Xenopus tropicalis: one gene and its partners. The protein of the gene in region 1 purifies or fractionates together with the protein of each later gene. This does not show direct contact. Links are inferred from orthologs where the notes say so. Each region holds a gene or a part of one and is shown on either strand. Other genes may lie near its edges.

What was found.
Region 2: the proteins of znf830 (region 1) and ppil2 purify together in Homo sapiens (co-immunoprecipitation; 4 studies listed by BioGRID and IntAct, counting the BioPlex papers as one, with this or other methods). This does not show direct contact. The link is inferred for Xenopus tropicalis from reciprocal best matches to the Homo sapiens genes ZNF830 and PPIL2.
Region 3: the proteins of znf830 (region 1) and ppie purify together in Homo sapiens (affinity purification with mass spectrometry; 3 studies listed by BioGRID and IntAct, counting the BioPlex papers as one, with this or other methods). This does not show direct contact. The link is inferred for Xenopus tropicalis from reciprocal best matches to the Homo sapiens genes ZNF830 and PPIE.

Annotation. Positions count from the first base shown.
Region 1 is NC_030682.2:73,852,485-73,856,544, forward strand, and holds part of znf830 (zinc finger protein 830), read left to right. Parts: intron 1-445; coding exon 446-569; intron 570-1,854; coding exon 1,855-1,888; intron 1,889-4,060.
Region 2 is NC_030677.2:154,149,530-154,154,260, reverse strand, and holds the start of ppil2 (peptidyl-prolyl cis-trans isomerase-like 2), read left to right. Parts: upstream 1-1,861; 5' UTR 1,862-1,919; coding exon 1,920-1,951; intron 1,952-2,987; coding exon 2,988-3,037; intron 3,038-4,731. UniProt on the Homo sapiens protein: Has a ubiquitin-protein ligase activity acting as an E3 ubiquitin protein ligase or as an ubiquitin-ubiquitin ligase promoting elongation of ubiquitin chains on substrates.
Region 3 is NC_030678.2:91,050,588-91,055,391, forward strand, and holds the start of ppie (peptidyl-prolyl cis-trans isomerase E), read left to right. Parts: upstream 1-1,831; 5' UTR 1,832-1,861; coding exon 1,862-1,946; intron 1,947-2,036; coding exon 2,037-2,135; intron 2,136-3,719; coding exon 3,720-3,763; intron 3,764-4,223; coding exon 4,224-4,250; intron 4,251-4,804. UniProt on the Homo sapiens protein: Involved in pre-mRNA splicing as component of the spliceosome. Combines RNA-binding and PPIase activities.

The DNA of each region.
Region 1 (4,060 bases):
GACTGGCTGTTGGTGGCTCCACTCACTTTGAATTCATTGTGAATTGAGAAAGCCAGTTGAATGACTGGCGAAACGTCTTCAAGAAAAAACACAGCAAGGATACCTGCTGTGATTTCTAAATAAACGACAGTAGATTTATGTGTAAATAATTTAGTGCATGTGCCTTTACCCTTATATTATACTTAAGTGTGGGTTTTTTTTTCAATTCTATAACATGATACTGTGACTTTTTTAACAACATTTTTCACATATGTTGAACATCTACATCCTTTACCATTATGCTTTACAAAGCACCTTCATTCAGTGTTAATCAGGCCTTATTTACTCATTCAAGTTGCATGTAACACATACAATATCATTGTTTTTATATTACTGTATTTATGTGATCCTAGTTTTTAAGTTTGTAAATTGCTCTCTGTTTCCTAATGTTTTTGATATTTTAAAGAAAGTTGCTGAGTTAAAAGGATCCAAGGCTAACATAAGTAGTCCCTCAAATAAAGTACAGCTTCATCACATTATGAAAAGGAAGGGGTCTGAACCAGAGAACCAAGAGAGCAAACGAATTAAAGGTAGGCAAAATTAAATGCTTGATTTCATTTCTGGGTGTCATCTGCTTTCTCAGAAGCAGTTTTTTTTTGTTTTTTTTAAGTAAACACCTAAATAAACAGACAGTTGGTGAAACTCACAACTGCATTTTTTCCTTGAAATAAAGTTAAGCTTGTCATGTAAAATTATTTTTTAATGTAAAGATTAAAGAAAGGAGCTGCTTTTAATATTCAGCCTATTTGTAGTATTAAACTGGCACACCAGAATACATAGAAATCTCACTTGGCCACTTAGTCTACCTAGTCAGTTGATCTCCTTTACCTCAGTTTGTCTAAACAGAGCATAGTGTCCTCCTAAGGGTGGCCACCATTAGAAATCTAATGAGCATTCTAGAGTCCTGTATTATATGACTGCTTAGGCAAAACAAAAGTGTGCTCACCACAAATTAAATTAAATTAAATCAGTGGTGCAATGAGGGTGTAATTTTATAATTTACCAAAAATATTAGGGGCACCCCAGAGATTATAATCTCTTACCTGAGACCCCTGGCCGGTGCTTCTGTTTGCTGAAAGTTGCACCAGCTTGGGGTACTACTGTAGGAGCACCACACTCCCATCATCTTCTTGGATCTTCTCTACAGTCCAGTCTGGTTGTATAGAGCGAAGATATTCTTTACAGCTCCTCATTAGCAAGAGAACACAGGGAAGCGTCTTAACTAGGGTAGCCGTGGTGTCAAGTAAGCCATTAAAATCACTTGGGGTTTGCATAACATTTTGGCACCTTCTAGTTATACCTTTCCTTCTTTTTTTAATTTATGATTCAAAAATCATAACTTTTGAGGAGAACTTTCCATTTTGCTACTAGTTTCTAATAGTTTATAAAAGAAGAGGCAAGCTCCCATCATTTCTCGCTTCTGACAGGTGATCCCTCTGGTGTCCAATATAAAGGGCAAACTTCTGGGAGTTTTAACTTTGTAAAACAACTTGCCGATACAACTTAGTCCCTGTAAACACTTGCAAAAGAAATTACTGGAATGCAAAAATTAATTAGATGAAAGCATAGGTCTGGCTTGACAATGGTTGGCTGATGTAAAAATATTGCAAAAAAGGGTATAGTTGAGGGCAGAGGATCTATTTTTTAGGGGATTTTTTTTTTTTTGTTTTTTAACACAAGCATTTAATATTTGCTATATGGATTATTTATAGACCATTGCCTGTAAAGACTACATAAGGAGACTACAGCATGCTATGATCTCTATAAAGTTACACGAACATTAATGACAGCTTTGTAACAGTTATTTTTCTGCAGGCACAGAAGACCAGCCAACAGCTTTAAAAACCAAGTAAGTTTTATGTTAGCAGCATGCTTGTGTAATTGTGTAATTTTAACCTTAGAACTCAAATGAATACTTTTAAAAAAGCAAACTCTCCTAGCACTGTTTTTATTGACAGTGCTTTCCCATGGAAATAAATTATTTTTGTTAAAAACTATTTGTGCATCAGACATCTGTGTTTAGTTTACATGATTTGCCTTACCGAATTTTCAGCTTTCTCAGTGTGCAGGGTTACTTTTTAATGTTAAAAAAGGGGTGGCTATTTCAATTTCTTCTAGTATCTCCTGTACTTTTAATCATTCAGCATTCACTTTTTAAGTAAGTTGTCCACGCACTTCTAACTATGCTGTAGAATGGGTAGTAGTAGTGCACATCGCTTTATCAAGTGTACTTGGCATTTAAAGTACACAGAGACCAAAACAGCCCCCCACCAGATCAATAAATAGTGACTGTCTATGGCATCTTACAGCATGCTAACAAACTCCCAGAACAAACCCCTGCCAGGTTCACCTCCCACAGCATAGGACAGGCAGAGTACAGCACACGCAGGCAGAGTATAGCACACAGGCAGTATGCTGCCTGTGTGTGCCATACTCTGCCTGCCCTATGCTGACTGTGTGTATCATACTCTGCCTGCCCTACACATAGGCAGCATGGGGCAGGCAGTACATACAGCATATATGGGGTTATCACAGTTTTTGCTTGTAGTATAGATGTCTTACCCTTTGTAGAGATGGGCCCGGGTGCTCATGCCCCAGACCTTTAGCTTAGGGAGCCATAATAGAGGAAATCACGTAGCAAAAATTGATGGCAGGCACTCCGATGTCCCAGAGGTATATATTAAAAAACAGCCGACAGACTGTAAACCCCTGTATTGTTTAAACATGTAATCCCTGGTACTGTTCACACCTTTAGTCCCTGCATTGTTCACACCTCAGGCTCAGACTGTAAGCCCCCACATTGTACACCTGTTTATCCAGCAGAAATCACATAGCAAAAATTGATGGCAGGCACTCCGATGTCCCAGAGGTATATATAAAAAAACAGCCATATTATAAGTAAAAAATGTAAAAAGTTTATTTAATCCATATATAAAAGAACAAAAAGAAGCCTTATGCGTTTCGCACCAATAGGGTACTTAGTCATAGGCTGTATTACACTTACAAGATACACAGTATTTAAATATAAGGTGGCCAATAGGGATATCTCAAAAATTGGCCAATCACAATCATCAAGTAATTAGGTACAATTGAATGATAGATAGTGAGTGGTTAAAAAGATTTATATAGGGATACTAAGTATAACTCTTATGTGAGATTAAATATCCAACGTTTAGGCACAATTTTATAAAGCATTTTTCTATACATAACAGGTCACATCGTATTCATAGTTTAGACCATGCGGTTGTCTGGTTTTTATAAAAAATATCCATTTAGTTTCTTTTTTAATTAGAGCATGGGTAATGTCTCCTCCACGGGGATCGTGGAGGTTACTCTAGCAATTCCTTTTATGTTTAGATAGGACAATGATCTATTTGAACATTCTGAGAAATGTTTCGCTATTGTAGTGTTACATTTTTTGTTTGTGATATTAAGGATATGCTCTCTGATTCTGTCTTTCAGTTTTCTACTTGTTTGACCGACATATTGTTTTTTACACTTAGTGCATGTGAGTAGATAAATCACATATTTAGTATTGCAATTAATATAGTGTTTAATCTGATAAGTATTCATTGTAGTGGATGAAGTGAAGGATTGTGTTTTGACAACAAAATTACAGGTAATACACTGTCTGGACCCAGGATATGTCTATACCCATGGTTATGTATTAGTGGGGATAATTTGTTACTTAGGGTATCCGTTTTCCTGGTTACAAATCTATACCCATTATCAAGAATTTGCCTCAAAATTGGATCTGTTTTAAGAATTGTTAAGTTATTATTAACAATGCTTTTTATAGCGTTGTATTGAGGACTATATGTAAAAATACATTATAAGGCCTTAGTGTTGTCTTTGAAGGTTTTTCTTTTTTGAGAGTAATTTATTTATGGGTGCTCTTTTATTTTGTGCAGCCAAAGTTTCTGTGGTGTTCCGAGTTTTATATCTATTAAAAAGCTCTAATCTGTTGGTAGATGCAGCTTTTTCAAAAGCTTCTTGTATGATTCTTTTTGGGTAACCCCTA
Region 2 (4,731 bases), on another chromosome or scaffold:
TGTGCCATACTCTGCCTGCCCTATGCTGCCTGTGTGTGCCATACTCTGCCTTCCCTACCCTACCTGTGTGTGTCATACTCTGCCTGTTCTATGCTGCCTGTGTGTATGGCACACACAGGCAGCATAGGGCAGGCAGAGTGTGGCACACACAGGCAGCATAGGGCAGGCAGAGTATGGCACACACAGGCAGCATAGGGCAGGCAGAGTATGGCACACACAGGCAGCCTACAGTGACACGATGCTGGCACTGCTCCTACAGTCTGCACAATAACTATATATTAGAAAACTTTTTAATTGCAGTACCACCTCAGTATATGTTCTTTTTATAGTGTGTAGGGTTTATTTGTGGGTTTCTACTGCTCCTACAGTCTGTTTGAGGTGTGAACATGTGAACAATATGGGTGATTAGAGCCTGAGTCTGAGGTGTGAACACTGCAGGGGGTGAACAATGTAGGGATAAAAAGGTGTGAACAACACAGGGGATTATATTTTTAAACAATACAGGGGGTTTACAGCCTGAATCTGAGGTGTTAACCATGCAGGGGGCCAGTACTGATACCATTTAAAGCTTACACAAAGGTAAGCCATCAAAGCAGCCAGACAGGTGAGGGGCCACACAGAGGGGGGTTGCGGGCCGCCAGTTGGACAGCACTGGTCTATGGCATCTTAAAGTAGCCCCTTTGCCAAACCCACAGATTGCCAGTAAGGGCCTGGTGTAATTAACCCAATTAAGATTTGGAACAAGAGCCACAGGGCCAGGGGACCTTTCTGGCACTAAAAACAGGGGTCAGGGGTGCTGACACCTATTCCAGCTCTTATAATAGGGTACCAGGAACTTATTCCAGCAGCCTGAACCTAAGTGAAGCATGTATTTAGGCAACCAGGATAACACATCTGTTCTGGCCCTAAGAAAAGGAACCAAACAATGCCAGGCACCTATTTAGGCAGGGCTGAAGCCAAAGGTAGGTGAGTTAGCCAAAAATGTTATTTATAAAGGCTAGAGTGAACAGATGTTAAACATAAGAGCCAGAACACTACTTTTCAATCTGATCTGCGTGCTCACAAACTAACTGAGGTTAGACAGCTGAAAGCAGGAAGTAGTATTCTGGCTATTGATAGACATCTGTCCACTCCAACCTTTATAATTACTGTACATTTTTGCCTAACTCTATTACAAATATTTTTTTTATTTTGAGCAGTCTATTTGACCCAGTTTCATTTTTACACTGAACTGTGCCTTTAATCCCATATTATGGAAACCATTTAGAGAGGATAAAACAAATAATGTCATGTGTCAGAACAGGTACCAAAAGAGTGGCAGGAACTAGTTCTGACAGTCAGTACTGGGCTTGAGAATGCCAAAAAGCATTTGCCACCTATTTTAGCGCATTTCTTGAGTCAGAATAGGTAAAGAAAACACTAATATTCATATTGCTCCTTATCAGCTTTGAGGTTGGTGCCCCAAACGCCCTATTTTTAACATTTATCTTCTCCGCCACATCGCTTACTATTCTACATCACCTATTGCTCTCTTCAACACTTTCTCACTCCGCGCCAGATCTTCTCCGTCCCCTCCCTTTTCCATGTTGCCCCTGACAGCTTTAAAATGCTCCTTTTCTCTTTGAAATCCTTTACAGAAACGACATATTAATGTAATTAATTATAATGAATTTGCGAAACGTGGAGCAAACAAAAGCATATCTACAACTAGTTCTACTTTAATGCCAATCACTTTAACCATAGCATCCTCGTCTCCAGTATTAGGAACACAGATATTTCGAATTAGACGCTTCCGCGTTTTTTTACTTCCGGTACCCGAGCCCTACCAATAGACGGACCGGAAGTTATAATTGGACGCTAAGTCTGGAAAAAGTGTTCAGTATTGAAACAGAACGGGGCTTCAGTAACAGATAAACAAAATGGGGAAGCGTCAGCATCAAAAAGATAAAATGTAAGTTGCGAGCCTTAAATGCGACTTATACGTAAAATGGCGGCGTATTGTTGTTGTACTGTTTGTGCATGCTCTGTGTAACCTGTGTCTGTGGATCTACACTCGCCCAATAATGCACACATAGCATATTCCAGAGTTACAACCTCTCATCTTCTTGTTTAAGGGAATGCTGTGTGTGAGGGGGAGGGCATGTATCTGTTAGAAGAAGGCTTTCACTTATTGCATACAGTGGGGACCTTTATTTAGGATAGACTGGGAAGCATTTATATCAAGGTCCTGTGTAAGCAGAAATGGAGGTTGTAGGTGGCACATAAATGCCACTTTGCTGCCCCCACAAAGACTATACACCATTAAGTATCACTATATTGTTCACAAATGCTTTCACGGTTTCTGAAGTTTAAAATGACCAAGGCTGTTTACAGGACATGTGTTATGCTACCCTAAAATAAATAAAACAATTTTTAAAGATGACTAACCAATTGTTAAGAAAAATCCCATGGCACGAAAAACCCGAGTACCATGCCATACTGAGCGTGGCGGGTCCCATTTGTTACATACCCCCCAGTAATAATAATCACTGACATCAGCCCTCAGACTGGTTCTTCTCTTTGTCAAAAAATACATTGGCATAGGTTACTGTTCTAGTGAGCATCCTCCTTTTTTGTTTTTTTGATACATTCAAGCTGTACATGTTAGTTTTTGGGCATGCTAATTTTATCCAGCCTATGATTACATGCTGCATAAGCATAAACACGTCTGGCTTTGTACATGGGGTTTGTTTTAATGGATTGTAATAAAGTTGATAATTTTTAACTTTTTTTGATAGTTACAGACTTAATTGTTAAATTGTAATTTTTCCCTCTTTTGGTCACTAGAGGGTTGATTCTGCACGTTTGACTATTTTTTCTTTCTAGTTTTTTTTTACTATGTATCCTATTTTGGCCATTTGAAATGTTTACATGCTAATTTTATACCATCTTTTTCCCTTAATCCTGTGTGGTTACTAAATCTGTTTATTTGTTAATTATTTTACCAGGTACATCACTTGTACAGAATACACAAACTTCTATGGAGGAAAGAGACCAGGTAAGACCAACTACATACATAGGTTGTATGTATATTTAAATTTTGATTTTTCACAAGTTTTTCCATTGAGTGTGGTACTATGCTTTTCTATTTAACATATTTACCAGCACTCTGGCTACTTGCCTGGGTAGTTTAGGGAGTGCTCCTCTATGGTTCTAAAGGGTTTCAATAGTATAAAAAAGACCAGCAACTCCGGGATTTCTTTTGAAAAATCAAAACAAATCATAACATATATATCATAGTAATGTAATCTCCTAATGAATAAAAATTGCCTGGTGTAGTTATCAAAATGTAAACAACAAATGGACACAGCACTCACTGGACTTGGAAGAAAACAAATTCATTTATTTATTATGTTTGCCCTGTGCTACAGTGCTCAGCCAATTAAATGGTAATTTATGGGGGTGCAGCTACAATAATAATATTTTTAAGCAAGGGGACACAGTTCTCCAGAGAACTATGGCTTATAACCACAATAGTATGTGGCGCATCCCCAGGGATGCAGTTCTCCTTACTGAGACTTAGCTGAGCAGGACCATGTGGGGGTGCCAACTTCAAGATTAATGTGAAAGGATTGTAGTAGTTTTTACTTCCCGTCTTCATGGCCCACTTTGTAGTTTGCACACAGAAACATTTATAAAGTGGGAACAAATATATACAGCGACCCGGTGGGGACAGTCTTATATACTGGGATGAAACTACAAAGACGGATGGCTTGAGCAGCCGCACTCAAAAGCTCCTGTATGCTGGGGGTGGGGAAAAAAAAGTGGCGGGATGTCATCCCACTCCATTCCACCTCGAGGTCTACCAGAAACTTTAAAGTGATCTACTGGTAGACCGTGATCTACCTTTTGGGCACCTCTGCCTTAGACCCTGAGATGTGTAACCAGTATCTAATATAGTTATGTGCACTTGTTGCCCCCCTCTAAGTATAAATCATGGGCTCCTAATTATCACTTTGAACCCGCAGTCACCCCTATAATTGCTAATCCAGAGCATTCTGGATAGCAGGTCCCATACCTGTATAGGCAAAGGGAGCACACATCAGTGATGTATTAGATCTGACTCCAGCTCCTGCATAAAAAGAGACAGATTGCTAAGAGGGGGTTACTGAAGAAAAACCTAATTATTTCCACAATGGTACCAAATTTTTAATCGATTATATTCTGAAAGTTTTAGCGATACATCGCCTTGATGTAGCAGCCATCTCTCCTGACTATAATGTTGTTGTTTACTTAAAACTGCTTCTAAAGGTGGCCATACACCTTGGGCAATGGGGCAATATCGGGGTAATTTAGGCTTATTCGGTCGTTTGGCCCTGGGGGCAAATGATCGAATTATAACGGCTGGAATAGGCGCAGTCAGTTCGTGGACCGCATCAACGTGCCGATGCGGTCCCCGGTCCGACTGAATTTTTTAATCTGCCCGATCGATATCTGGCCGATTAAGATTGTCTTGCATGACATTATTGGTACATTGAACACTTGATACAGATTTTCTGCCTAATTTCAGTTAACAGGTGTTTTTATTTCTGCAAGAGTTTTTTTTTTTTCTATATATGAAACTGGAGTCCAGCATATTTCTTTCTTGCATTTTATTAACAGATTATAGGATCTATTTTCCAGAATTCTTGGGATCCCACCGGCAAGAATGTGAATCCCCTCCAGAGATTTACATTGTTGCCAGTGGGAAGG
Region 3 (4,804 bases), on another chromosome or scaffold:
ATTGTTTTAACCCATATGTGGGCGATCGAAATGATACCAAACATGAGGGGGATCTCATGTCCCAGTCCCCCAGAACCCATTTCTCCTAACTGGCGGGTATAGGCCGCCCCTGTTTGGTACCATTGGGAAGCCTGGGGCCTCCTCATAAATCCTATGTGATTTATGATGATGTGGACCTTAAAGCAGCGGAGATATGGATCCATTTCTATAATCCATATTTTCTGTATGCTGTCCCCCCCTGCTGTTCCTAGGCCCACACTTTGCCTCTCTTTGATAAACAGATCAAAGACCCCAGCTTCCTGCCCCAACGGGCTGATCCCGCATTGTCTGATGAAGTTGTTTATGTTGTCACCTTCCACAGTCCTGGTTGTGTCTTTAAGGGATATTTGTGAATTACCCCCTACTGGGAAGGGTTTCCCTCAAATGTGGATTTCAACCAGACTGAAATTGAAAATTTAAAATCTATGGAGCCTTACTGCTCCAACATGACAATGACCATTTGGCCCTTGGGTCAAATGATCGCATTGCAATGAAGGGGATAGGAAAAGTGAGAGTGATATGACTAAAAATCAAGCATGTCCAACTGAAATCTGGCCAATCTTAGGCCAGAAATTGGTCGGAGAGGCCTGTCAGAGGGCCCTATACACAGGCAGATAAGCTGCTGAGTCCGTCTTAAGGACCCAAATCAGCAGCTTAAATCTGCCCTTGTACGGGCACCTTTAAAGAAGTTTTCTATTCAGGCAGCAGCGATCTTAAGGCTGCTGTGCCGCCCCCCCTCTGCGTTTACCTCTTCAGCATTGGAGCAGGTCCTGGGGGGGCAGCATCACTATATCAAATGGAGGTCACTGACCCCCCCAATCGAATATCACTCTCTGCACTAGATGAGCTCAATCTCCATTTTTAGAAATGCAGCTCAAAGTTACCTGAGGTGGCTTTTTGCCACCCCTGGTACATGCCCACTCACTGCTGCCTACAGCAAGGTTCTCACATTGCCTCCTGGCAGGAGCAGCCCTGTATTCAGGTGCCCAGGCAGCATGGTGGCTCAGTGGGTAGCAGTGCTGCCTTCTGCTGAGTCCTGAGTATACTCCCACATAAAAAACATAAACATACCAGCATGTAATTACTTTAGGATTAAATTGTCTCTACAATATGTGATAGGGACCTTAAACTGTTCTGGGCCAGTGACTGATAAAGTGAATGATGATGAAGTGAATGATGCAGACTCTCTGTAAAGCGCTGCGGAGTTCTGTTCACCAGGGGTGACGCCTCCCAGATAAATTCATCATAGCATTATTCTCTAAGGCCAGAAGATGTAGCTCTCCGCCTTACAGATGCAGAATGCCAGGTCTCCAAACGTCTCCCATTTTCGGGACTTTAGAAATGGCCATCAAAGGACAATATATAATATTATTATTTTTTTATGTAACCAACGCCATCTGCTGCCTGCTGTAACCAACAAAATGTCTGCAACCGACGAATGGCGACAAGTATTTGAGTACATCAGGTAACAAAAGCAGAGTTTAGATTTCCCGTTACCTGTATACCACGGATTAGTAATGCCCACTAGAATTCAATCCGTTTAACCCGCATTGTCAATAGAGTTCCGTGGTTTAGTCTACATCGTATTTACGCTTTCCTAGAGGAGGAAGGCTGACGTTGTGACGTAAGGGTCATAGGGTAAAGGTTAGCGTCAGCAATATGGCGGCTACTAAGAGAGTTTTGTACGTGGGTTAGTACTTTTTTACATTTGCATTTTCTTCTTTTAGAGGTACGGGGTTAGTAGTGCAAAATAAATGGAGCGCAATCTTTAGCATTTTGCTGCTATTTGTAGCAATACCTAGAGAAGCCATGAGAGACAGCCATGTTCACGTGGATAGTGGGGCTGCAACCCCCATCTGTTAATCCGGGCACCGAGCTGCACGATATTTTCCTGACTACGGGGGCTTGTTAGTGCGAGAAGTGTCTTTAAAATGTTTTGTTTAACTTTTCCTGCTGTAATTTCTGTTCTAAAACTTGTTCATTCATGTGATTAACAGGCGGGCTTGCAGAGGAGGTGGATGAAAAAATCCTGCATGCAGCTTTTATTCCTTTTGGCGATATTACTGATATTCAGATACCTCTAGACTATGAAACAGGTAAGTATGGAACTTAATGCACCACTATGCTCATTTTAAGATCATGGGGATTTATATACACATATCTAATTTACACCAGTTTCTTTTTCTGCCTGTCTCGCAACTGGGTTTGTGTGTGAGTGACATTTCTCATTCGAGGGTGAACTTTTGTAATTAAAATTACAACTTTTCTGTGTGAAAATATCTAGTGGCACATACTACTAGCGAAGTATAGCTTTCATGAAAAAGCTGTGTTAAATGATGTATTTTTATAGAGACTGGCTATTTTTAGAGGTATTGCAGCTATGACAAGTTTAGCTATGATGCTATATTAAATATGCATAAATCCACTAAGGTAGTATATTACAAACTGGCCTTATGGGCGTGACATGTATAGTGCACCTGTTGAAATATTTTGGTCACAGGCACTGTTTAAGGAAGATATGTAACATGACTGTAAATCCCTCAGTCTTGTAGGCAAAAATTATTTATATTGTTTCACTCTAAGCTAAAGTTTATAATTATCTTTAAAACAACCCCTTTATTGGATCTCCCCATAGCTCCACTAAAGTCCCTGTCCATGTTTCAAATGAGGGGTTGGTGTGTCCTAATGGTCCCTGCCACAAGCACAGTAGGAGCGGGACAGCAAATCACAGCCCTGCAGTCACACAGGCAAAGATAGGCTTCAGTTCCCTATCAGCTCAGCCTAGCTGCTGATTGGTTCCTAAGCTACAATGCAGTGTGCAGGGTAGCTGGCAGCAGTCAGCACGACCTGGCAAAGGAGGCAGCAGCAAGGAACAAATGGGCAGAACCAGCACAGTTTTTGGAGAAATTTTCAATAAAAGTTCATTAAAAAACTTTTAAAGCACATTTCTTCTATATCTAGAGGAGTATAATGCACTGGCACATTCTTGTTTCTTACACAACATATCCCCTTTAAGCTACCCATTACAAGCACATTTCAAAATACATATTGTAACTGAATGCAAGAGTAATTCTAGCTTCACAATTCTTACATTCTTAAAACAATTTACCAGTTCAGCGATAAGCCTTCTGTATAATGAGCTGCCCCTTATCTCAAAGCCTAACAAAGACTGCAGCTGGGGAAAGGAGGTAGGTGTTTGTATAGAGGGCATCTCATTGTACTGGTAATTTGAGTTTATCAACTCGTAAGAACCAGGAAGTTGATATCAGTCTTAATTTCACTTTCAGGCTTTGCCATGTATGGTTAAGAAATAACACGAACCACAAATATTTGTAGAGCTATGAGATCTGTTATCCAGAAACCTGTTATCCTGAAACGGGAAGGCCATCTCCTATAGACTCCCATTTTAATGAAATAATTAAAAATTATTGGGTTTATTAAATGTTTAAATGATTTTAGTGTACTTAAAGTATGGTTATCCAAGTTATTGAAAGATCCATTATCCCATACCCATGAATTATGGGTGGATGCTGTGGGTTATTTTATCTGTCCATATTTTCTCTGATATTAAATGTTCATCATTCTAGTATGATTTCTGTGTTCCTGCTTCTCCTGAGAAAGAATTATGTTTACAACATTTTGTATGGGTATTAATGGTTGGTGGTCTTATTTTCTTATAGAAAAACACAGAGGATTTGCATTTGTGGAGTTTGAGCTTCCAGAGGTCAGTTATCAAAATAACTTATACAAGGTGGATTCTTTATCCTCTATTTCTTCCCTTAGGGTGCATGAGGGAGATGGGGTTCTGGCAATTCATTCTGGGGATCAATTCAGAATTTTTGCCTGATTTGCAGCTATTATTGCACATGCCAGTAATTAGTGCCTCACACACGGACAATCAGGTTTTACAAGGAAATAAAATATATAAGTATTGGGTTTATGTAAAAACGTTCATAAATGTTATCTGAATTGTCACGAATGTATATTATATATACATAGAAACAATTTTTATCAGTTGGCCTCGCTTAGGATAGCTGTAGCTATGTTCAGCCCAAAGTGTCAGGTATGCCAAACTAATTTCTCCCAGATGAACATTGAATTCCAACAATGTCAGCGCCCAATATATATTATTTATTTCAATTGAATGTATCTTTGTTTAATGTTGCATTTTTTCCATTTTCCAGGATGCAGCTGCTGCAATTGATAACATGGTAAGAGTTGGTTATGTAGTTTATTCACTTAATTTGTGCTTAGGCCTTTTATACTGTCTTACTTGTAGAAATGCTAGCAAGTCCCAAAGCATCAATTCTGTAATTTAATACTTAATATACATATCAATTTATGTTAACCATCACTTGCTTTAGAAGTTTGTCTAATGCATTTTATATAAATAAGCTGGAGAAGCAAAGGTAAGTACTAAGTAAGATTTACCAAAGTTCTATGTAAATACAGCCATAAGCACTACCAAAAAATCTACACTGGGTCTTCTATCAAAAGAAACACAGGATTTCTTGTCTCCTTTTTTGTGAACATGTTCTTGGGTATCTGACTTCCTCTCTCAGAAAAATCCTTCATTCCTGGGCCAGAGTCTGCTCTCTCCTCTCTTCTTTGTTCATAAGAATGCATTAAACTACCCCCACCCTTTAGGAATGTGTAATCTGAGCTACAACAGCTAGCGCTGCAAGTAGGAAGCTACTTAAAATGGCAGCTGCTATCTTAAACAAACAGAGAAAGCTTCTAGGGATCTTTACTCAGGTATGGTAAG